Linked DNA regions of Lepisosteus oculatus. The protein of the gene in region 1 binds, or shares a complex with, the protein of each later gene. Links are inferred from orthologs where the notes say so. Each region holds a gene or a part of one and is shown in the gene's direction. Other genes may lie near its edges. The genes, in order: per2 and cry2.

Evidence for each region.
Region 2: the proteins of per2 (region 1) and cry2 are in contact, whole or in part, in a crystal structure (PDB 4U8H), measured with the Mus musculus proteins. The link is inferred for Lepisosteus oculatus from reciprocal best matches to the Homo sapiens genes PER2 and CRY2. Residues at the interface, in NP_035196.2 of Mus musculus: Tyr1132, Leu1134, Gln1135, Asp1136, Pro1137, Trp1139, Leu1140, Met1142, Ala1143, Asn1144, Thr1145, Ile1149, Met1150, Met1151, Thr1152, Tyr1153, Gln1154, Leu1155, Arg1158, Asp1159, Leu1160, Val1163, Leu1164, Asp1167, Gln1168, Lys1170, Leu1171, Leu1174, Gln1175, Ser1177; in NP_034093.1 of Mus musculus: Trp58, Ser63, Ser64, Val65, Lys163, Leu166, Thr167, Lys169, Arg170, Glu215, Leu216, Gly217, Phe218, Asn330, Pro331, Ile332, Cys333, Ile334, Gln335, Ile336, Pro337, Asp339, Asn341, Pro342, Glu343, Leu345, Ala346, Lys347, Ala349, Glu350.

Annotation. Positions count from the first base shown.
Region 1 is NC_090708.1:8,121,068-8,131,213, forward strand, and holds the start of per2 (period circadian protein homolog 2), read left to right. Parts: upstream 1-5,947; 5' UTR 5,948-6,123; intron 6,124-6,480; exon of another isoform or gene 6,481-6,723; intron 6,724-10,146. UniProt on the Homo sapiens protein: Transcriptional repressor which forms a core component of the circadian clock.
Region 2 is NC_090716.1:6,341,090-6,351,261, forward strand, and holds the start of cry2 (cryptochrome-2), read left to right. Parts: upstream 1-4,996; 5' UTR 4,997-5,177; coding exon 5,178-5,335; intron 5,336-6,337; coding exon 6,338-6,446; intron 6,447-8,142; coding exon 8,143-8,285; intron 8,286-9,901; coding exon 9,902-10,086; intron 10,087-10,172. Other genes in the region: slc35c1 (GDP-fucose transporter 1), read left to right, coding at 178-703, 1,569-2,131. UniProt on the Homo sapiens protein: Transcriptional repressor which forms a core component of the circadian clock.

The DNA of each region.
Region 1 (10,146 bases):
TTTATATGTACAAAAGTGTGTGCTGTTACATTAATGCCAAATGGATAATGTCTTCTTCAATTGCCATTACAGCTTCTGCAACAGAACAGAGTTAACTTGCTTCATTCTGCCAATTGTGTTTACTAGAACTATAAAAGGTATAAATGTATTTCTTAACATTTTTTTTTCTTGATTGACTCATATTAATATTTTTCCTAAAACTGCAGAAATATTCATTTTGGATTTTAAATTCCATCTGTATATCTGCAGTTACTGATCTGAATCTGAAATTACTAAATGTTTTCCCTCTGCTACCCACAATCCTCAATGCTAAGATAAATAAATCTGTTAAGATGATTTTCCTCTTGTTCTTCAATCAGTTGCCTTCTTTGTCCTTTGTTTAATAAATCTAAACGCCACAATTTAAGGGCAGCTAGATGAACTAAACAAGAAACAGCTGTTTATTTCTGAGTAGCAAAAGGTGGCAGGGGTGCAGCATTAGGATGGCAACAAATATGAAGATCGGTAAATAAAAGCTGTTGTCTTCGAACGGCACATTTAACAATGTTCATTCTAATCCTCATTTTACAAACTAAGCCTTTGCATCTGTGCACAAAGGAACCTTCACATGAACAAAGGAAGGCTTTACTTCATTAATTTATATTCATTAGTTACATTCATTAGCTACCTGTAGTTACAAGCCACTTTACCTTCCTTTTAACATTGGGTCTATAACAATCTATAAAATAATACCTTGGTAGTTTAATGAAGAAGTCTGAAATACTTGTCATTTATACCCATTTGCAGTAAGTCTACTATTTTTATTGTTTAATCAAGCTCCATTTCATTAATTTTAGATCCTTGTTTTAAGTAAGCAGTAATTCTTCTCTGGTCCATAATGATAGTGTGGATCCAACCGAGAGCTTGGCTTTTGGTGGTGGAGGAAGATGCTGATCTTTTTTGCGAGGTTGAGATTAGGCAAAGTCATGCTTAGTCAGGGGGATGTGATACTGGAATCCTATGGCACTGAAACGTAACAACAGCAGTCCAGACTGACTTCAGGGGGATGTTCACTAGTTCATTCATAAATGGAGCCATTCCTCAATTCTACTTCCCCATGTTGAACACCGTACTGACAATAAACCTCAAGCATCAGCCATTCCCTCTGCCAGATGCCAAAGGGAAAACATCTGAAGACGTATTGGCCACTAGACAGGAAATCATTGAGTGTTCTCCAAGATGATTTAGACAACCTCTAATCTTTACTGTCTGGAAGGAGTATTTGCTGAAAAAGGTAGAGATGTCACACAGGCTTGGATAAGATCACTTCTCCCCAACCAGTCAGAGATGGTGTTGAAAAAAGTGAGCAGTGATTCATTTCATGGTAGAAATTAGGGAAGGCATCTTTTAAACAGTTCACTGTACCTCCTCAGCTCTATCTACAATCCTCACAACACAACCTCTATATCCTGAGCTAACATATCTCTAGTTCCTGGCATTTTTCTTAAATTTCTGGTCCAAGCAAATTTGGTGCTTGTGATAAAAACACTTACAATAAAATAATATTAGCAAGACATTTTAAAAAGCTTCCTTTAGCTAGCAATTATGTGTTCCAACTCTCTTTAACACAAACAACATTCAGCTCTTTATTAGATATTCATGTAACCTTAGAAGATAGTAATAAAAACAGTTTTGTGAATATGGATTTTTTTCCGTGCTATAAAAATGCTTCTTCAGTACTCTTTTTATTTACTGTATATTCACATGTCGTCTTAGTAATGTAACTTGTAAAGTGTAATGTCAAAATACTTAAAAGTTTATTTAAATTGTTCAGCTGTTGAAATTTCAATGGTGCAATTAATGTTTGGACTGTACACTGGTATTTCTGCCATAGCTCGTATGGAAATGACATTCACTATATTTATCTTTTGTAAGAATTAACCACTGTGTCCATATCAAAGAAGTAATCCAAATAGCACCTGCATAGATCACTTACAACTTCATCAAAGGTTCAAAAGGATTTCACTTTGAATTTTTCCAAGGTAATTCTCCAGTGATTCTTACGAATGTTTCCATACGACTGAAACCTACTGAGGCATAAATTCGGAAAAGGGCATGAATGAAACTTTCCAAAATGTACAGCTGTTTTAGTTTACTTTTCCAATCTGTGGTGAAGTTGGGCTTATAATGTTAATTCAGGTATATCAGGTATTAAGAATATACCTACTGTACTGTAAGGTTTCATGGAACAAAACCTCCTTTATGATGAATTATGTTTTAAAGGATTAACTGTCTCAGGCTGTATCACTAAAATAATTTAATTCTTAGTCAGAGTAAGACTTTTCCACCAGACATCCTGCTGTTACTTTAAAACATTTTTTATGTGTAAGCCCAAGTACCCAGAGACATTCCTTTCTAGTGGAATACTTGCCAAGATTTTTTTTTAGCAAATGGAAGTTTTACGTCATTTGTCTCTCCAGCATTTCCTTGTGTTAACCAATGATACAGTGTATGTGCCAATTCTGGAAGTCATCTTAAGGTCGCTCCCAATTCCTTAATTTTCCTCCTGGAAAATGCACGGTTCAATTTTCTTTGATAAAAACTTTTATTTTGATTGTTGCAACAGTGACAATTCTTACAGTGCATACTTTATATCTTGTTGCATGGTAGATTTAAACATTTATAGAGTTTATTGGTACTGTGCCCACATGTTAAAGCGAATGCAGTTGTTTCAATTTGAATACAATTTGATGTGCAAGCAAATATCACAAAACAAATGTACTGTAATATAACGCAAAAATAAAATACATGTAACAGAAGTAAACAACTGAGAAAGAGAGCACAGTAAAACTCAAACACTCAAAACCTGATGCTAAAAAAACAAAATCAATAGTAACTGGGCTTGAGGAAAACAAATAGTTGTGGATATGGTGTTATACACAAAAAGATCTGTTGCCTGATTATGAGGAAATTGGGCTTTGGTAGTGACTAAGAATGGGAATTGGACTACATTCATGCATGAAGTATGAACCCATGTATAAACTATCTCCTTAGGATAATCTGGAGCTAGACTGTTCAGTGCCTTATAAATTAGCAGGTTAAAGTCCTCTGACAGGGAGCTTGTGAAATGTTCACAGCATAGGAATTTCAAGCTGATGCACAAGTATATTTATTGGGTGGACCATTAGGGGTCACTCTTACCCTTACGCTGGGAATTCCAATCTGTTCCTCAAATATGGAAACAAGGACCGTTGGACTGCAAGAGGTTCCTTCCTTCGGATGTGCCTCTAACCTGTGATCCTGATTGCTTGCCCAGTCAAGACCTGACAGCACTGTCAGAAAGAGTTGTTCTCTCGGTGCCCTGGCCAAAGTCCAGTCTTCTCAATTCAATCGGTGAAGTAATTTCTCACTTCTATACCTGATTTGGTGGTGGATTATAACCGCCCACACGTTACCTAGGTATCCAGCAAGAGGCTTGTGAGAGGGACTGACATTTCAGTAGTGAGTGTAACATGCTTGCAACCTAGATGGATTCTCAGACCCATGTTCACTACATCCTTCTTTGACACTGTCTGGACATCCACAGTGTAAAAAGAAGTCAAATCTAACAACTGTCACATTGTTTTAAAATTTTAGGGATGTTATTTTTCATAACTGGCCCACACTATATAACTGCAGTTTTTACAATAATTATAGTAGAGAAAAATAGTCAGTACAACTAGGGCATTAAAAAACTTTGCACTTAAATTGCTCCTGTGAGGATGAATAAAGTATTTTGAATTGAAATGTTGGTGCTCCTTGAGTGCAAGCCTGTAACAAAAATGTTTTTGCCATTGTGGTAATAAACACATGAACATGACCCACTCCTGTCCCACACACTGGGCCTCAAAAGACAATCATTTAAAAATACATAAAAGATGTTACCGCACATTACAGAAGGATACTTTCACTGAAATGTAAGAACTGTACACTGAAGTGTAGAATCTGAATTTTAAGGGATATATAACATTATGGGGCAGTATGGTGGCTCAGCTGTTAGCGTTCCTGCCTTGTAGCGCTGGGGCCCTGGGTTCAGGTCCTGGGATGCTGTGTGGATGGAGTTTGTATGTTCTCCCCATGTATGTGTGGGTTTCATCTGGGTGCCCTGGTTTTCTTCCACAGTCCAGAGTCATATGGTAACTTCCTGTGCCCTGCAATTGGACTGGTTCCCCATCCAGAGTGTATCCTGCTTTGTGTCCATGGCTTTGCCAGAATAGGTTCTGGCTCCCCCATGACACTAAAGCACTTATAAAATGTTATAAAAATTACACATGCCCCACCCAAAAGGGGTACTACTGCTCTACTAACTCTGCTGTACTACTTTCTAGACTAAAGCACATAGGAGGACGTTTTCCTCTTAGCAGTAGTTAAATGACAATATTCTAAATGTAGTAAACGACTTTTCTGTTTTCTGCTTAGAACTTAATACATTTTATTCTGCCGCTTTGGCGGTTCTAACGCTTTTATCGAATAGCGAATCGTATAAAAGAGAAAGACTAGCACAATCCACGTGAAAAGTGCTGAGATAAGCCGTGCCTCAAAAATACCGTCTGATTTGCAGGTGTTTTAATAAAAATGTAGCTCCATATCACAATGTGGCCCGCAGTGTCGCCTTATGTAATGGGAAAACATAGATCTTTGTGATTGTGTAATGATTCAATTAAAACAGCATCCCTGTCAACACAGCGTAGCGCTTTCACTCATGACTGATCTGGTCCAAAAATGATATACGGCAGTAGCCCTGTTTCATCATAAAAAGCTATTTAACGTGGGATTAATAGAAGTCTTATAGTAACGGTTTTCGTCCCTCGACGCAACAACCTCTATCTAATAATGTAAATGTATATTTTATATACAGTACAGGACAATGCCTCATCCCCAGAAGATATTTAGCAAAAATGTGGGATGGTTTCGCCATTTAAGCCCCGATGCAGAATTATATCAGTGGAACACACTGAATTTCAGCACGTGCACGCGTTCCTTCCTGTTACCTCAGAACCCGAACCGGGTTTCGTGAAGAAACCGCGTCCACACGGACAGCATGAGACCACGGAGCAGGTGTCGCTGGCGTTACACAACAGTCACCAGGACTGACAACAAAACAAACCCCAAAATCGCATGGACACATACCATAGGTGCGGTATCTGCAACAACCACACAATCCCAGAACCAAAAAACAAACAAAACAAACGGAGTATCTGCACGAGTAATCCATAGAATTATTATACAATTATCAACGATTTGTGAAGGAACTGCATTGTGTAGACCTTCTTTTTATACATGCTTAAACTTTATTCAAACAAATTCATTTATCTGGTAAGGAAAGAAAATGGTTATTGGTTGTTGTGCATCTGATAAATAAACACTGATTGATCAGAAGTCTGTTGTACTGCTGTATGCATGAATTTCATAGTGTCTCCACCACGCTATTTCATAACATTAAAAAGGTAAGTGCCAGCCGACAAATGTCTCTACGCAACATCATCCAGACGTGCAAGTTGACAAATGCCGTAATCACTTACATAATTCTGCATGCGTGCCCTCTTGGAAAAAACTGCACCACAGGGCAGTTTAGAAAGGTTCACCCCCAGACTATTACGTGTTTAGTAAAGGGAATGCCAGCGAAACACACACACAAAAAAATAGTTGTATAATAGTTTAGATAACAATCAACGAAATTTCACCATCCAATACCAAACCCTCTCCTTCCAGCAGCAGCGTTCATTCAGTTAGCACAGGGCTTACACTACTACGAAATCGCCCACATTGCCTGCAAACATGGTTTTCCATGTGAGTCTTATGACAGCCTTACATAAATAGATTGGCGGCGCGTCGAGCCAATTGGCGTCCTCTGACTTCATCGCCTACTATTTGCCATGGAAACCCGGGGCTGGGAGCCAATGGGCGCCGAGCCGGGGCGGAGCCCGTATTGAGGTCACGTTTGCCACTCCAGGTTTTCGGGGCAGCTGTGGAGCCGAGCGAGACTCAGAAACTGGAGCGCAGCAAATGTTCCTGAGGACACAAACGGGAGGCTACCTGCCGTAAAACCAAACACAGGAGAGCAACGAGAGCAACGAGCTGAGCCCCGTTTTTTTTACGCGCAAGGTTTGTCTTTGCTTATGTGCTCTTGCGGCTGAAGAGTTATCCGTGTTACTGTGCTAGACCGCCCGCTAGCTGGTTGTGTAACACTAGGGAATGGGTGACACGCTTTTGGATTGGAGATTCTGTTAGCTTGAATGAAATGAAGAGTGATTCGGTGCTCTAAAGTTTGCCTGCTCTTCCCAGTCTGTTATTGCATGTATTGCATTCTCTCAGATGAGAATTGTTCGCCGCGCTGATTTATTTAGCGACTTAATTTTTTTTATTTTAAATAGGGGGTCTGTTATGTAAGCGTACCACCGGTGGGTCAACGTTTTTTTCCTCCTCTGGGATTGCGGTGGGTCACTGGAGTAGCACTTGCTTGACAGCACCTGCCCTGCCTACTGTACATAGTCGTGTTGGTTCATTTTCCTGCACGGAAAGAGCTGGGGGACGCGAGTAAGTTGCCTCATCGCGGAGGCTGACAGAGCTGCAGGCGCTCAGAGAGTTTATCTGCAGTCCTGTCTCTCGGGTTTGACCTCGCTGATCCAGTTACCAGCCGTGCAACTTTGCTACAGTCAGTGCAGACCCTGCCGGTCGTGAGCTTGTCGTTTTTAAGTGAAGAAGGCAAGTATTTATTATCACATCTTATTTCTTAATGATGGGTCATATATATTAAAGATTGAAAGGGGGAAAACTAACATGGAGCTGGAAAAAGATGCTTTCAGAGCTTCACTCGGTATCATATCAAGCCGGTTTACTATCATAGCCAGGATATTAGGTCCACTCCAGTGTGGCGACCAGTATACTTGTATTCGTTTGAAGTGATATATTTTCGTGACCCATGGAGGCTCATAGGCTGTAAATAAAAAGTATTTTGATTGTAATATAGTGTTATTCTTGCACTTAAAATGACGACATCGTTTCTACCATTATTGCATTTCCGATTAGAACGAATACCCCTGTTAACAAGTTAATTCGCTCATTCGACTGATACAGTAATATATAGTTTGGTGTGTGAAATGACTCGTCTGGGGTATACCTGTGCAGTGTGCTCTCTGTAAGGGTTGGGGTATTTAAGAGCAAGTTTTTGGTGGCGCTATCTGGGTCAGTTGCGACAGGAGGATGTAGGCTAGTGTAGCCAGTTGCTGACTAGACGCGTGATAGGGAGAAAATCTTTTTTTTTTCTTCCTAATTTTCAAATGGAAAGCGAACTAATGCCTTATGCGTGGGTGTAATTCAACAAAGCTGTGTAATCCTGAATGTGCAACCATTCCAAATCAACTGACAGAGATTTCGCAGTTTTTTGTTTGCGATATATTCTGCTTTCGTTCCGTTTTCACCCTTGTTTGTCTCGACATGTTAGATGACACAAATATACACTCCTTAATATTTATTAGTCCGTTTATTGAATATGCCGGTTTTAAGAGATTGTTAAGGGTTAGCTGCATTGGTCTGCTTCATGCGATATCCCTACAGCCCATTGTCCCACTGAAAACAGGTTATTAGACATACAGCATGATAGTTTCTCCTACATTATATGCCCTAAATACCTTAAGCTGGCTTTACTGAGCTGTGCCTCTATATTGTATACAGTATGCTGAGTTGCCAGTCAGACCTGTTGCATGGATATCTGAGTTGTAAGGAATTTTAAACATTATGTTCATTGTTTTTGAGATGGTTTGGTTGTGTTACAGCATATTTCCATATTTCTTTATTGATGTAACATTTTTGTGGGTGTGTGGGCTACCTGTGGATACTACTGTACATCTATGGATTTAGATGATCAATTGTCAGAATTACAAAAAAGGTTTAAGTTTATTATCTGGGAATAATGAAACTCGAAATGAAATGATTTCCCAACCTTGAAATCAATCTTCATTTTCTATCAGGTTTTAAAACCCTCCTTATCTATAATTTTCTGAACAGCCTCTGTGCCAGGCAAATAAATCTTTGAACCCTAATTGCATGATAAAGGAGAACTGCTGAAGCATATTGAGTACAGCTGGTTCTATCTAGCTAGTTTTACAAAGTTCATTACAGTTTACCCGATCTTGGTAAAGTGAAAAGGGTACGTTTGTATTTTCTCCTTTTAAACATGTATAATTTATTGTGATTGCAAAACAAGTTGAATCTTCATATTCATTTAAGGTTGTATATCCAGGTAGAAATGTGATTAATATCAGAAATAAAAATGATATGAACATGTTTCGTGTAGGTCGTTTGTTGATGAATGTCCAGTTTTAGTATACTGTGGATTGTATACTTGGGTGGCTTTTAATTTGCATATCAAATGAGAGGGGTTTTATATCTGCCCTTAATTTTCAATCATGCTTTTATAAATAATTCATATAATATAAGACAAGTTGAAGTCCTCCACATGTTGTAGTAGCACAAGATCAAATGCAGTTCTCGGTTTAATCAAACTTCATTACATTTTTATTAGTTTAAAGGGAAAGTGGAATTATTATAATTAGCTTAAATGGATGAGACCAAATCTGTCCACATTCATATAGCAGAGCATTTTACTGAAGCAATTTAAGACAAGCTCCTTGCTCAAGGGGTAGACCCAAGATTTGAACCCACAGCCTTCAAGTTGAGATTTAAGGGACTTAAATGCTGCTTCACACTCTGTCCTGATCTGCTGCTACTTGAAGGAAAGTTTTTTTTTTGTATTGAAAAGCCAAGGCTAAACTATCTTCAATTATTTGAATACAATACCATGCGGAAAGTACTTATTATAGATGTTGCATTCAGTTTTTAGATTGTATTGAACTTCATATTGAAGCTTATCTGCTGCCTGTATCTGCTGGTGGGGGGAAAGCTGAAGATGTAAGTGTTACTGAAGGGCAGCTTGATAGGAAAAGGCTCATTTCATGAGTCTAACTGTTTGGTTTGACTGGAAAAACTGACGAAGAGCAGAATCTTCACTCAATTCATAAGATGATCTTTTGGAGTCACAAATGGAATTAAAAAAACAGGGGTTTGCATGCAGATCATATTAGCCTGTTCTAGAATGTAAAATTATTGGACTTTGCTGACCTTAGATATTATACTTTTCCACTGACACACTGTAAACACATCAAGCATACAGAAGAAAACAAACAGCAAAATTAAACGTGTGAACCACCTGTTGGGAGTCCCATCATGGTATTGTGTGAAGGAATGGCAAAGAAAAAATGTATTGCAGTACTTGTAAATTTGAATGTATTCTTTGAGGATGGCATATTTTAGTCACAATGCTTGGTTTGTATCTTTTGTTTCTTGCTATTAACCTACAATAATTAGTAAAGGTATGAGACAAGCTAGTTTAAACTTAGTTCATTGAAGAGTTTGGACATTGGTGAGGTGAGATTGCTATGAAACTGGACCAGTGTTTTTTTTTTTTGATTTGTGAAGGAAATTGACTTGCTTAGAGGGAAGTAGGTAAATCCAAGAACCTTAAAGGAATTTTAATGCAGAAGAAAGTGTTTGGTTGTCCTTGTGATAGAGCAAAAATTTAAATTGCATTCTGTTTCAAGCAGAACTTTTTATTGTTTTGTATGGAAAGAGTAATATTGATTGGTTTACAAAGAGCGTGTGCCATAAATAGATGTATCATCTGGGTTGTGTGTTGAAATAGACTGGAAAATGGTTGCGGGGAAAGTGACCGTCAGTAGGAGTGCGCCGTTACAGATCATCTTTGAGACACATTCAGAGCTTAAGACTATGGCACGTTTTGTGTAAGGATGGGGCCATCAGTTTTCTTCTTTGGCTCTTGGAGTAAATTTAGGAGATGGCAACAGAGACTGACTGAAGATCTAAGAAGTTTAAGCCTATTATAGTACCTTAATCATGCAGGTGGGGCTGCACATTGGTGGTGGTGGAGGGGAGTCCCCATTACCTGTAAAGCATTTTGAGTGGAGTGTCCAGAAAAGTGATATATAAGTGTAAGCTATTATTGTTATTATTGTTATTATTATAAATGTACCACAGACACTTATGTACAGAAATTGTTGAGTCCTACAATTGGGAACTACGGAGGATGGGCTAGAAAACCTACTCAAAATG
Region 2 (10,172 bases), on another chromosome or scaffold:
ACGCCTACATGGTTGTGGACTCGAAACGCCTGGTTTTTCAGTGAGGCTGGTAGGTGGGAGGACTCAGGAAGTTGACAAGGAAGGAAAAGAGCCCTCGTACGTGTGAAAGGTCGTGGGCACCGCGTACAGTCATCACATGTAAAACGTTTCGCTTATTTTGTGCTTCTTTGTTTTGTCATGAACAGGACCCAGTTGAAGCGTTCGAAAATTTTGAAAATGGCCCTTATGCAGTCTGATTCTTTGGACCAAGAAGGAAAAACGGATTCTTTCTTAATGAAAGCCATTAAAATAGCCTTAGTGGTTGCTCTTTATTGGTTCATATCAATTACCATGGTTTTTCTAAATAAATACCTTCTGGACAGCCCTGCCTTAAAACTGGACGCCCCTCTGTTCGTGACATTTTTCCAATGCTTCGTGACTGTGGGGCTTTGCTGGTGTATGAGTCTGCTGTCCAGGTTGTGTCCGACGTCTGTGGAGTTCCCGTCTGTCAAACTCGACCTCAAGATGTCCAGAGAGATCCTGCCCTTGTCTGTTGTGTTCATCGGAATGATCACATTCAACAACCTGTGCTTGAAATATGTCGGGGTGGCATTCTACAATGTTGGGAGATCGCTGACCACTGTATTCAACGTGTTAATGTCCTATTTAATTATCAAGCAAACCACGTCTTCCTATGCCTTACTCTGCTGTGGAGTCATAATAGGTACAGTATGCTGTTCTTATTTATTTTCTTCGTTCTTTATTTTATCACCTGCTTTTACTGGAGGCGCGCTGTCACGTTAGACACACAGTGTCCCGTAATGGTAAATTATTCTGCAGGCAGTCTTATTGTCTTCCTTTGGAACAAGGCTTCATATAAGTGATTAACACGCAGACATGCCCGTACTTCCTAAATAAAGCACTTTGCAATGTGAATCCAGCACGTTGTGTCAACCAGCACAGCTCTGAAGTAAGGCTGAAAACTGTCCAAGTATGTTTGCATCTACTCTTTATATATTTTGCCGGTTATAAATATATATTGGTATACAGAAAAAGTCATTACCATTTAGAAAGTTATTGAACTAATGATTTTAATAAAAATTTGTTTTAACCAATGATGTGCTCTTGGGTCTTGAAATCATTTGTCCTTAACCTTTTTTGATTAATAAAATCATAAACTCACTGTTCAGCATTAATCCCTTGGCTGAAGCTCTGCAGGATGATTCCTGCTTTTCCAATAGTATTGATTTCTGAAGAAATAAGTCCAGTAAATTTGACAACAAAGACATAGAATTCAATTAATTTTACATAAATCAAACAAAAGTAAAACGGTGCTTGATTATAAATCTTCCTCGAACGCTTAAATATTTGTTGTTGTTTTTAAACAGGAGAACTTTTGTGTGCAAGAACTAGGTTGTGAGCATCATCTACCACTGGAAGCTTTTTTTAAAAATCTTGTAGCAATTCTACATTAATGGCTATACAAGTCATAGTCATAGCTGTGCTTCAAACTGTAAGCGCAAACTGTATGTGGAGGGCAAAGGTAACCCATAACCTAATTTTTTTTTGTTCTCCTTGTTTCTGCACAGGAGGCTTTTGGTTAGGTGTGGATCAAGAAGGGGCAGCCGGGTCACTGTCCTGGACAGGAATCATGTTTGGAGTTCTTGCCAGCCTGTGCGTTTCACTCAACGCCATCTATACCAAGAAAGTGATGCCGGTCGTGGATGGCAGCATATGGAAACTAACCTATTATAACAACGTCAACGCCTGCTTCCTGTTCATTCCCCTCATTGTGGTCTTTGGGGAATTTAAAACACTCTTCTACTTCGACAAATTAGACAGCTGGTACTTTTGGGGTATGATGACCTTGGGAGGGGTCTTCGGCTTTGCTATTGGCTATGTCACTGGCCTTCAGATTAAGTTCACAAGTCCATTGACACACAATGTGTCAGGCACTGCAAAGGCTTGTGCTCAGACAGTCTTGGCTGTTATCTACTCTGAGGATACCAAGAGCCTTTTGTGGTGGACTAGCAACCTAATGGTATTGGCTGGCTCTTTTGCCTATACCTGGGTCAAAGGACTGGAAATGAAGAAACTTCAGCAAGACCCACAGACTAAAAGCACTACTGCCAAAAATGACTCAGGTATTTAGAGTGCAGACCAGGAGCCATATAAGCAAACATGTGATGAGTCTCCAAAGTGCTTTTTGGATCTTTTCTATTGTGAATTGTACAACTGATGCTCAGACTGCAAGTAGGAAAAGCCCTGGCATCAAACTGTGGATGAAAAAGAAGATTTCTGAACTGTTTAAACCTGTTTGTTTGTTTTGTAGTTGTAAAATTACTTTAGCTAAAGAAAAAAAATATTTTTTAAGTTTCTTTAAAAGTCTGTAAATAAAGAACATTTTAAGAGGTGTGTAAGATATCTCTTTATTTTAATGACTAGTTGTGTAATATTTCTGTCCAAGCAAAGTAATAAATCAAATATCTAAAACAAACCTTGAAAAGTACGAGCTGTATTGTACATTATTTTACTCAAGTGATTGAAATGAATCTTCATCATAACATAATACAAAGAAAAAAATAATTAGGACATTGATCATCTTTGCCAACAGAGCCCCCTTATATCACGTTCCTGGCTCTTGTGTATATATATATACTCACAGATGCCCCTCTGCATGGTGCACAGCTGCTTTGATGGAGGCAGTGGTGAAGCTGGTAAGTGGGTCTGAGGCTGCCAGATGGTCTCGGTGTGTTACTTAGTCACCAGGCCCCTCTTGGACAGGAGGTGGTTCCTGCTGCCTTCACACCTCCCATGGCTCCATCCCTGGCAGGAATGGGGGTGCCCTCTCTCTGACGGCCTCAGCAGTTGGAGACGTGTAGGATGCAACCCTGGAAATGAAGGTGAGCCCCACGTCCAGCCAGTCCTACAGGCAGCCTTCTCCCTCCTGTGCTCCCGGACCTCGATCTGAGCCCAACCCCCAGCCAAGTTCACAGAAGTTCTCCCTGGTGTTGAGAGAGTGACTGCAGCTATCCTGGCTAGTGGAACCGCAGCACTGTCATTTCATCTACCTGATCCTGTTGGTTCCCCCCTCGGTGACCACATGGCAACCCTGTAGTCCTGGATTTCCTGGATGGGCTTCAGTCCTCCTGGGAAAACCTGGTATCTGCCCTTGTGAGATCACTGCGATTCAATGTGTTAATTTACACTGCCATCATTAGGTCCCCAATGTATCTCAACAAAGTGCCGAATATCAGAGTCTCCTTTATGAGACATTGGGGTTGAAGGCTTTTGCTGTTAATGTGGCCAGTGTTTTACTGAATCCATCTCACACTGGCCTGTGTTATTGTGGGGATGATGGGTTTCACCTTTAACAAACTACAGACTAAACTGCTACCCTGCCCATCTGACATGATTTAGTGCACAGGCACCAGTGTTAAATCTGAAACATCATTTCTAGAATCGAAGATGTCATATCCACACATTATTTCAAAGACCATTAGACAAGGCAGAAAAATGCTAGGTGGATCACCACAGTTCAGTGCTAGATGTGTGATTTATTTCTTAGCTTTTTGGATGGTATTCTAGACCTTACACAAGTATGTAAATTGAGGACTGGATAAAAAAACTTTCCAAGGTAGTTTGCTAAATTGTTTAATTAAGTATTGTCCCATTTTAGTGATGGTATGTTTTAAATTAATTTCCAGCATGCTTCACTGAAGTAATATTTAAAATGTGTAACACTGGACACACCAGGCACATATGCATACAGTATATAGTGATTCAGAATCCCAAAAGATTATTTTAATGAGTAATAAGTTTCACGAGCTTCATGTAGTTTTTAAGCTGTATTTATGCTTTTTTAAAATCCTATAAAGGGGCTTTCACTCACATGAACTCTTTCTAGACTGCTTTGCTATGGGCAAAATACAAAAACGATAAACATAGTTTGAGCAAAAGCAGCTGTCCAGATCAAAACTACACTTTAATCATATCATTTAAGGAGAATAATATTAATTTCTGCAGAAAAAAATATTCAGCTCTGATTTTAAGCTCCATATTCCCAAATCCTCAATTAGTCAATATTGAATATAGAATCAGAGTATATAATTATAGAAACCACAAAGAAACCAGTTATAATTGTGTCTGTTATTTTCTGCTTTTGAATGATTGTTTACACAGTATTGCTGTATATTATGATGGATTTTAGTTATTGATTTAAAAAAAAAAACTTGAGGGCCATAGTCTAATTTGTGTATCTTCCCCAAAACATTATACTGTATTTTACCAAGGGAAATACACTCTGTATGTTTAACATTAAGAAAGTACTAGTCTTTGTACAGAGATGCAACCTTATGATAACTGGAAAATAGTTCATTAGAATGACCCCAGTAAAAAAAAGACCTGTTTTTATTGTATTTAATAGGGTTTGTGAAGTCATATTAGGTCGTAACTTGTACAAAACGATGCCTGCTTCTGTAACATAAAATCGCTAGGTGTCATAGTAGAGTTGCTGAATTTCAAATAAGAAACCATGACCTTACTCATAGTTTAAGTATACAGTACTATGCTTAGAAATTTCTGGATAAAATGGTACCCTATTAGGTTTGACCGCTCGCTAGAGCACATTTACGGTATGTAAAACAGGATAAATAGTCGTCTGTATCAATCAGCCTATTTTATTTTTTAATTTGAAATAAAAACAAAACCCGAGTGTTTTTACGATTTTGTACTTCACAACACACAATACGCACATCATATTTCACTGTCGTAAGAAAACCCGCCTTATATAAGAGCGCTAGGGTAAGTCACGTAACTGCCAGACAACGTAATGTACTGTCCGTGATGAGACGATTCTTCCAGCATTTTTTCCCTACTTTATTTCCGATCCCAGGTTAATTCCAACAACACACCAGAGAAACGTGACGGGGCGTGTCCTACATGTGATCAACAACCAATCGATTAGGAACTGGGCGGAAACTTGTTGTAATAGTCTGAACACGTGTCACCTGTAAGCCAATAGGCGTTGCACTCGGAGGGAAAGGCTCCAGTTCAGCAACATTGACTGTGCGCAAACTTGTGGAGGTGGAACAGCTTGGCAGTTGAAATCACTTTTCAAGCTTAATATGGACTCTTTTCGACGGAATTCTGGTTAAAGATTGTGACTGGTGTTTTCTTAAGGTTTGCAAATCGACATCATGGTGGTGAATTCCGTGCACTGGTTCCGCAAAGGGCTGAGGCTCCATGATAATCCGGCTTTACAGGAAGCTTTGAATATTTCGGACACAGTGCGATGTGTTTACATTTTGGATCCCTGGTTTGCTGCATCGGCTAATGTAGGAATCAACAGATGGAGGTTTGTCTTTTATGCTACGTGATTGCATCGTGTGTCCCATTCAGTGCGTTAATGGCGTTCTAGTTTGAATCAGCTTAGTTTTCTAAACATTTGTGTGTCACGCCAGAGTCGTCACTGCTCGTGTTGGAAACACATGAACGTGGTTTGTGCAGTATCACAGAGCAGAGGCATACGGGGTGTCCGTGTCTTTTTCTGTCCACTTCCAGAGGTCACTGCATGGCGAATATTATTACATCACTGTAAGGCCATATGACTGCTCTTGCATTTAGGTGAACCTTTTGCCAAAATGAAACTTCGTTTCCATTTGTCTTGGCAACAATGTACATTGCAAGTAGGAATGGTTACATGTGTTTGCGTCCTGATTAGGATAACCCACTGCCTTTATCACGCAAAGTTATGCAGTGACTTGCAATTTTCGTGATCAGTGTTACCTTTTAAGATCTTCATTTTGTACTATAGTAACTAGTCTTGTTTAGTTTTCAGATATTTGTAAATAATTTGACGGGTTTGAATACAAATCAGTTAGGATTTTATATTGAGAATGCCGTCCCAGTAAACCTCTTGCAAGTTGATAATGCTGTCATTTCATTTCTGAATCCAGAGAAATAATTTAGGGATATAAACTATTGCAGTCCCTCCTGACCACCTAATAATTATGTTGTGAAGAGAATGGATGGAGAAATGTCTCAATGTCTGAAAAAAGACTCAAAACAACAGCAGAACCACAGCAGGAATCGATTACAGAGATCTGGGAACAAGTTCAGCTAAATGGATTAGTTACCCTCAGTGCCTGAGAACCCTGTTGTCCAAAAACTTGATGAGATGGGGTTTTCCCAAGACCAGGGTTGGAAACCACTGAGGAGCAGGAAAGCTAAAGGATGGCAGTGGTCATGTGAAATGTGACTGAATTATTTTGCAAAGTAGACAATTTGCTAGTTATCTCAAGGGTTTTAAAGATCCTTTTTACTCGACAGTTTAGGCTAACTTTATTCTCTCATTTAGATTCCTCCTTGAATCATTAGAGGATCTGGACGCCAGCCTGAGAAAACTGAATTCCCGACTGTTTGTTGTGCGAGGGCAGCCAGCAGATGTGTTTCCCAGATTATTCAAGGTAAGCTCTGTCGTTCTGTCTCTCTCATGATATTGACATTCGTTCCATTTTTATCTGCTGACTGTGCTCATTGAACTTTTGCACACATTGAAATCTGTCTACTGTAACTATTGTCGATTTACATTATGGTAGTTTTACTGCAGCAGTCCGAATGAAGGGTATTTCTCAAGGGTAGAGCAGTACACATCTGGGATTTGAACTCACAACCTTCCAATTGAGAGCTAGATTCCTAACTACTATTCCTGCATGCATCATTTATTTTGCTCTTAAGAAGTAGGGTAAATTTCAAGGAATTCAACTGAAATAATATGTACTTAATATTCTGTTTAGTAGTATTTTTTGATTTTCTTTAATGTATTACAATGCATCGTTCATCATGGAGATTCCTAAATAATCTTTGTAAGTAGTTTTATTGTTCTGTAAATGTCTTTCGTGAAGACTGTTCTAAAATGTGAATAAGTGTTTTTTTCATCTGGGTTTGGATCTTTACTACTAACTGGAGTCACCGAGGTCATTAGGAGTTCATTTTTAATTAGCTTAATTTGAAGAGTGTTGCTGTTGGTCTGTGACGGCATGCAGAGTATTCTTTTACTATATTTAATGGGAAATGTTCACGTTAATGGGGAAATAAAGAGTTCCTTTTCAGCATCTATTGACTCTGTCCTTTTTTTAATAAGATAAAGCTCGATATTCATCAAAATTTGCTCACAATTTCTTTGAGAATGATCTTCATCATGAGGGACATGGAGTTCTTAGTGATATTTCAATATCTCAAGAAAATGTGATATGATATAATCTTTTGTGACAGTATCCACTCTTCACATTTCACTTTCATCAAGATCAAGCCTAATGTGTGAAGTTATTGAAGTTCCTTGTCATGAAATCAATATCCTCAGCACATGTCTGTTTGAAGAGGCTAGTAACATTTTCTGCTGCTTCTGCTAGGGAAATGAACTCATGAAAGTGTTTTGCTTAGGTTCTGTTTTTGAAAATTGCTTCAAAGAAGATTCATTTTAGCAATATATTTAAATACTTAAGAAAATTTCTAGATTTAATCATACAATTAAGGCTTTCTAGTTTTAGATTTAAATGGCAATTTCACTGTTGAGTCATTCCTAATTAAACGATAGCTTTTTTGGCATGATTTATAAGACTGATTTTGAAAAAGCTTTTAGCTATGCATTATGAAGGAGCAGAACTATTATGTGCTTTTATCTGTTTTTCTCCATCATTATGAGATGTCTCACTCTTGTGTTAAAAGTCACAGTATTTTCCCTTTCAGGAATTTCTGGTGCTTGTGTATAGGAAAAACAGTAAAGATTCATTCCATGCTGAAAAGAGAAGAAAAGAAACTCAACATTTCAGCTGTGAAGCCTTCTTTGAGTCCATTGGGTAAACAATGGACATTTTTTTAGTACAGACTGCAAAATATTTCTTCATAGCATTTGTTACATATGAGTAAAATCTTATGTTGTGAAGAGGAATTGTTTGATTAGGAAGGAGTTCTCTTACGAACCTCTTTCAGGTTAGCACAGGCCAAATGAATAGCTCTTTTAATGCCCTTCACATAGCAAAAATAGCTCAAGCATGTTTATAGTTTATGAATGATGAAAAATTACTTAAACCACTCTTAATCGGATTTTGTTTCAGAATACCAAAAATGTCTGACCTGTTTATTTTCCTTTTTGCCCTGCAGGAATGGAATGTAACACACCTGACTTTTGAATACGACTCGGAGCCGTTTGGGAAAGAGAGAGATGCTGCGATCATGAAGCTGGCACGGGAGTCAGGAGTGGAAACAATTGTACAAGAATCCCATACGCTGTACAGTTTAGACAGGTGAGGCAATGCTGAAAGTAGCAGTTTCGTATTTTATTTCTCAAGAAAATTGTTGTGTTAGTGTACAAATGCAGCCATTTGATTTAAATAATGAAATGAATTGCTTAATATGTGGTTTTGCTTTGTTTCTGTTGGGGCAAAAAACAATTTTGCATCAAGCTATATGTATGTACAGTTCAGACAAAAGTTAGTAAAAAAGATTAATTTGGTCTCTGACAAGTTAAAATTAACTAAATGCTGAAAATAGGTTATTGACACTTTGTGACCATGCAAAGGGGCTTTAGTGGTTTCTGAAGTAATTAGATTCCTTCAAATATTTTCACCTGCAGCTGTGAACATGCTGCTGCAGAAACTGTAATCATCATGAAAAGCAATTAATGTTTTTTTTCTGGAATTGTTTCTCCAACTAGTAAAACCAGAGTGATTATGAAGTCTTTTGTAACCTGTGTCAGTGTGTATACTTGTAGAAGGTTATTAGGAATACCACCCAGGAAAGATAGATATCTGTATAAAAGATGGAATTCCTAGTATAAACAGCAATTGACTGGTTTTGTGAGAGAATTGAAAGGCTGGTTTTGAACCTAGTAAAAATCCAAGTATGAAACTGTTGTTTGTTCTTACTGAAAGTATGTGAAATCACGAGAGCCTTTCACCCTTCTCTGTAAATATAATTGATTAAAGTAGACAGCATGTGTCATGTAACCTGTATATGTGAGATGTTATTTTTTTATATGATGTCTTCAGCTGCACATAGTTTCTATTCCAGTCCTTTGTATTTGTGTCTAATGGAGGCGATGCTACCACCTAGTGGTGCGCTGCACTAATTATCAGGCACACTACCCAACATGTGCAGACAGTGGGTGGTGGAATAGCTGTGCTCTACAGTCACCATTGCAAACATGTGCCTTCAGGAGCGTGCAGCCATGCAGCACTAGGCACATGTAAGCCGCCTGAGACAGGGCATTCTGGCAGGAAATGACAGAATGGGAGTGGTTAACTGGTTACCGATATAGATGGAGTTGCATAAGCTGAGGGGGTGGATCTGATCTTTTTCTGCTGTTCATTAGTTCCATGCACCCCATTTATCTCAGAATTCTTTTGTCAGAAATAATTGTGAGCTTTTTTTCTTTTTTTATCCCATGTTTTGTTTCTTTCTCTCAGTAGAAATACTTCAGACCATGAAAAGAAGTATTTCTTGTTAAGTAAAGAACGTGCCATGCAAATTCAAATTTAATTGAAATACTGGGTACTTGTGAAATAGGAAAAAATGATGACTTGTATAGATGTCTTCTGGAAGTTTATGATTTTTACTAAATGCATTTTAAAAGGAGAATAGAGAAAACTACAGTGGAGCTTGTTACAAATAGTAAGGGGAAATTAAGAAAATAATTATAGGGAATACTTTTGAATTACAGTAAATATTTTGTATTCTTGTGTCTTGTGTCTGCAGAACATGATAGGAATAACAGGTATTTTTCTTTTTGTACAGCATTTGTTCTGCATCTAACATTGGGATGGAATTAGTCTTCTATAAACCTAGCTAAAGATTGCTTGTGGAATCTAGCATGGGTTCATCCTCAACATCTAATTGGTACTTTTGTTTTATTCTTTCCCAGGATAATCGAGTTAAATAATAACAGTCCTCCGCTCACATTTAAGCGATTTCAAGCCATTGTCAGTCGCTTGGGGCTTCCAAAGAAACCCCTGGGGACAGTGACCCCCCAGCAGATGGAGAGATGTCACACTCCCATCTCCGAGAACCATGACGAATGCTACAGAGTGCCAACTTTGGAGGAGCTAGGTGAGACTCTGAATGCATTCAGCTTTTAGAAGCAGTGTGTAAGCCCTCCAGGTTAACGAAGGGACTAGAATTTTTTTCTCCTCCGA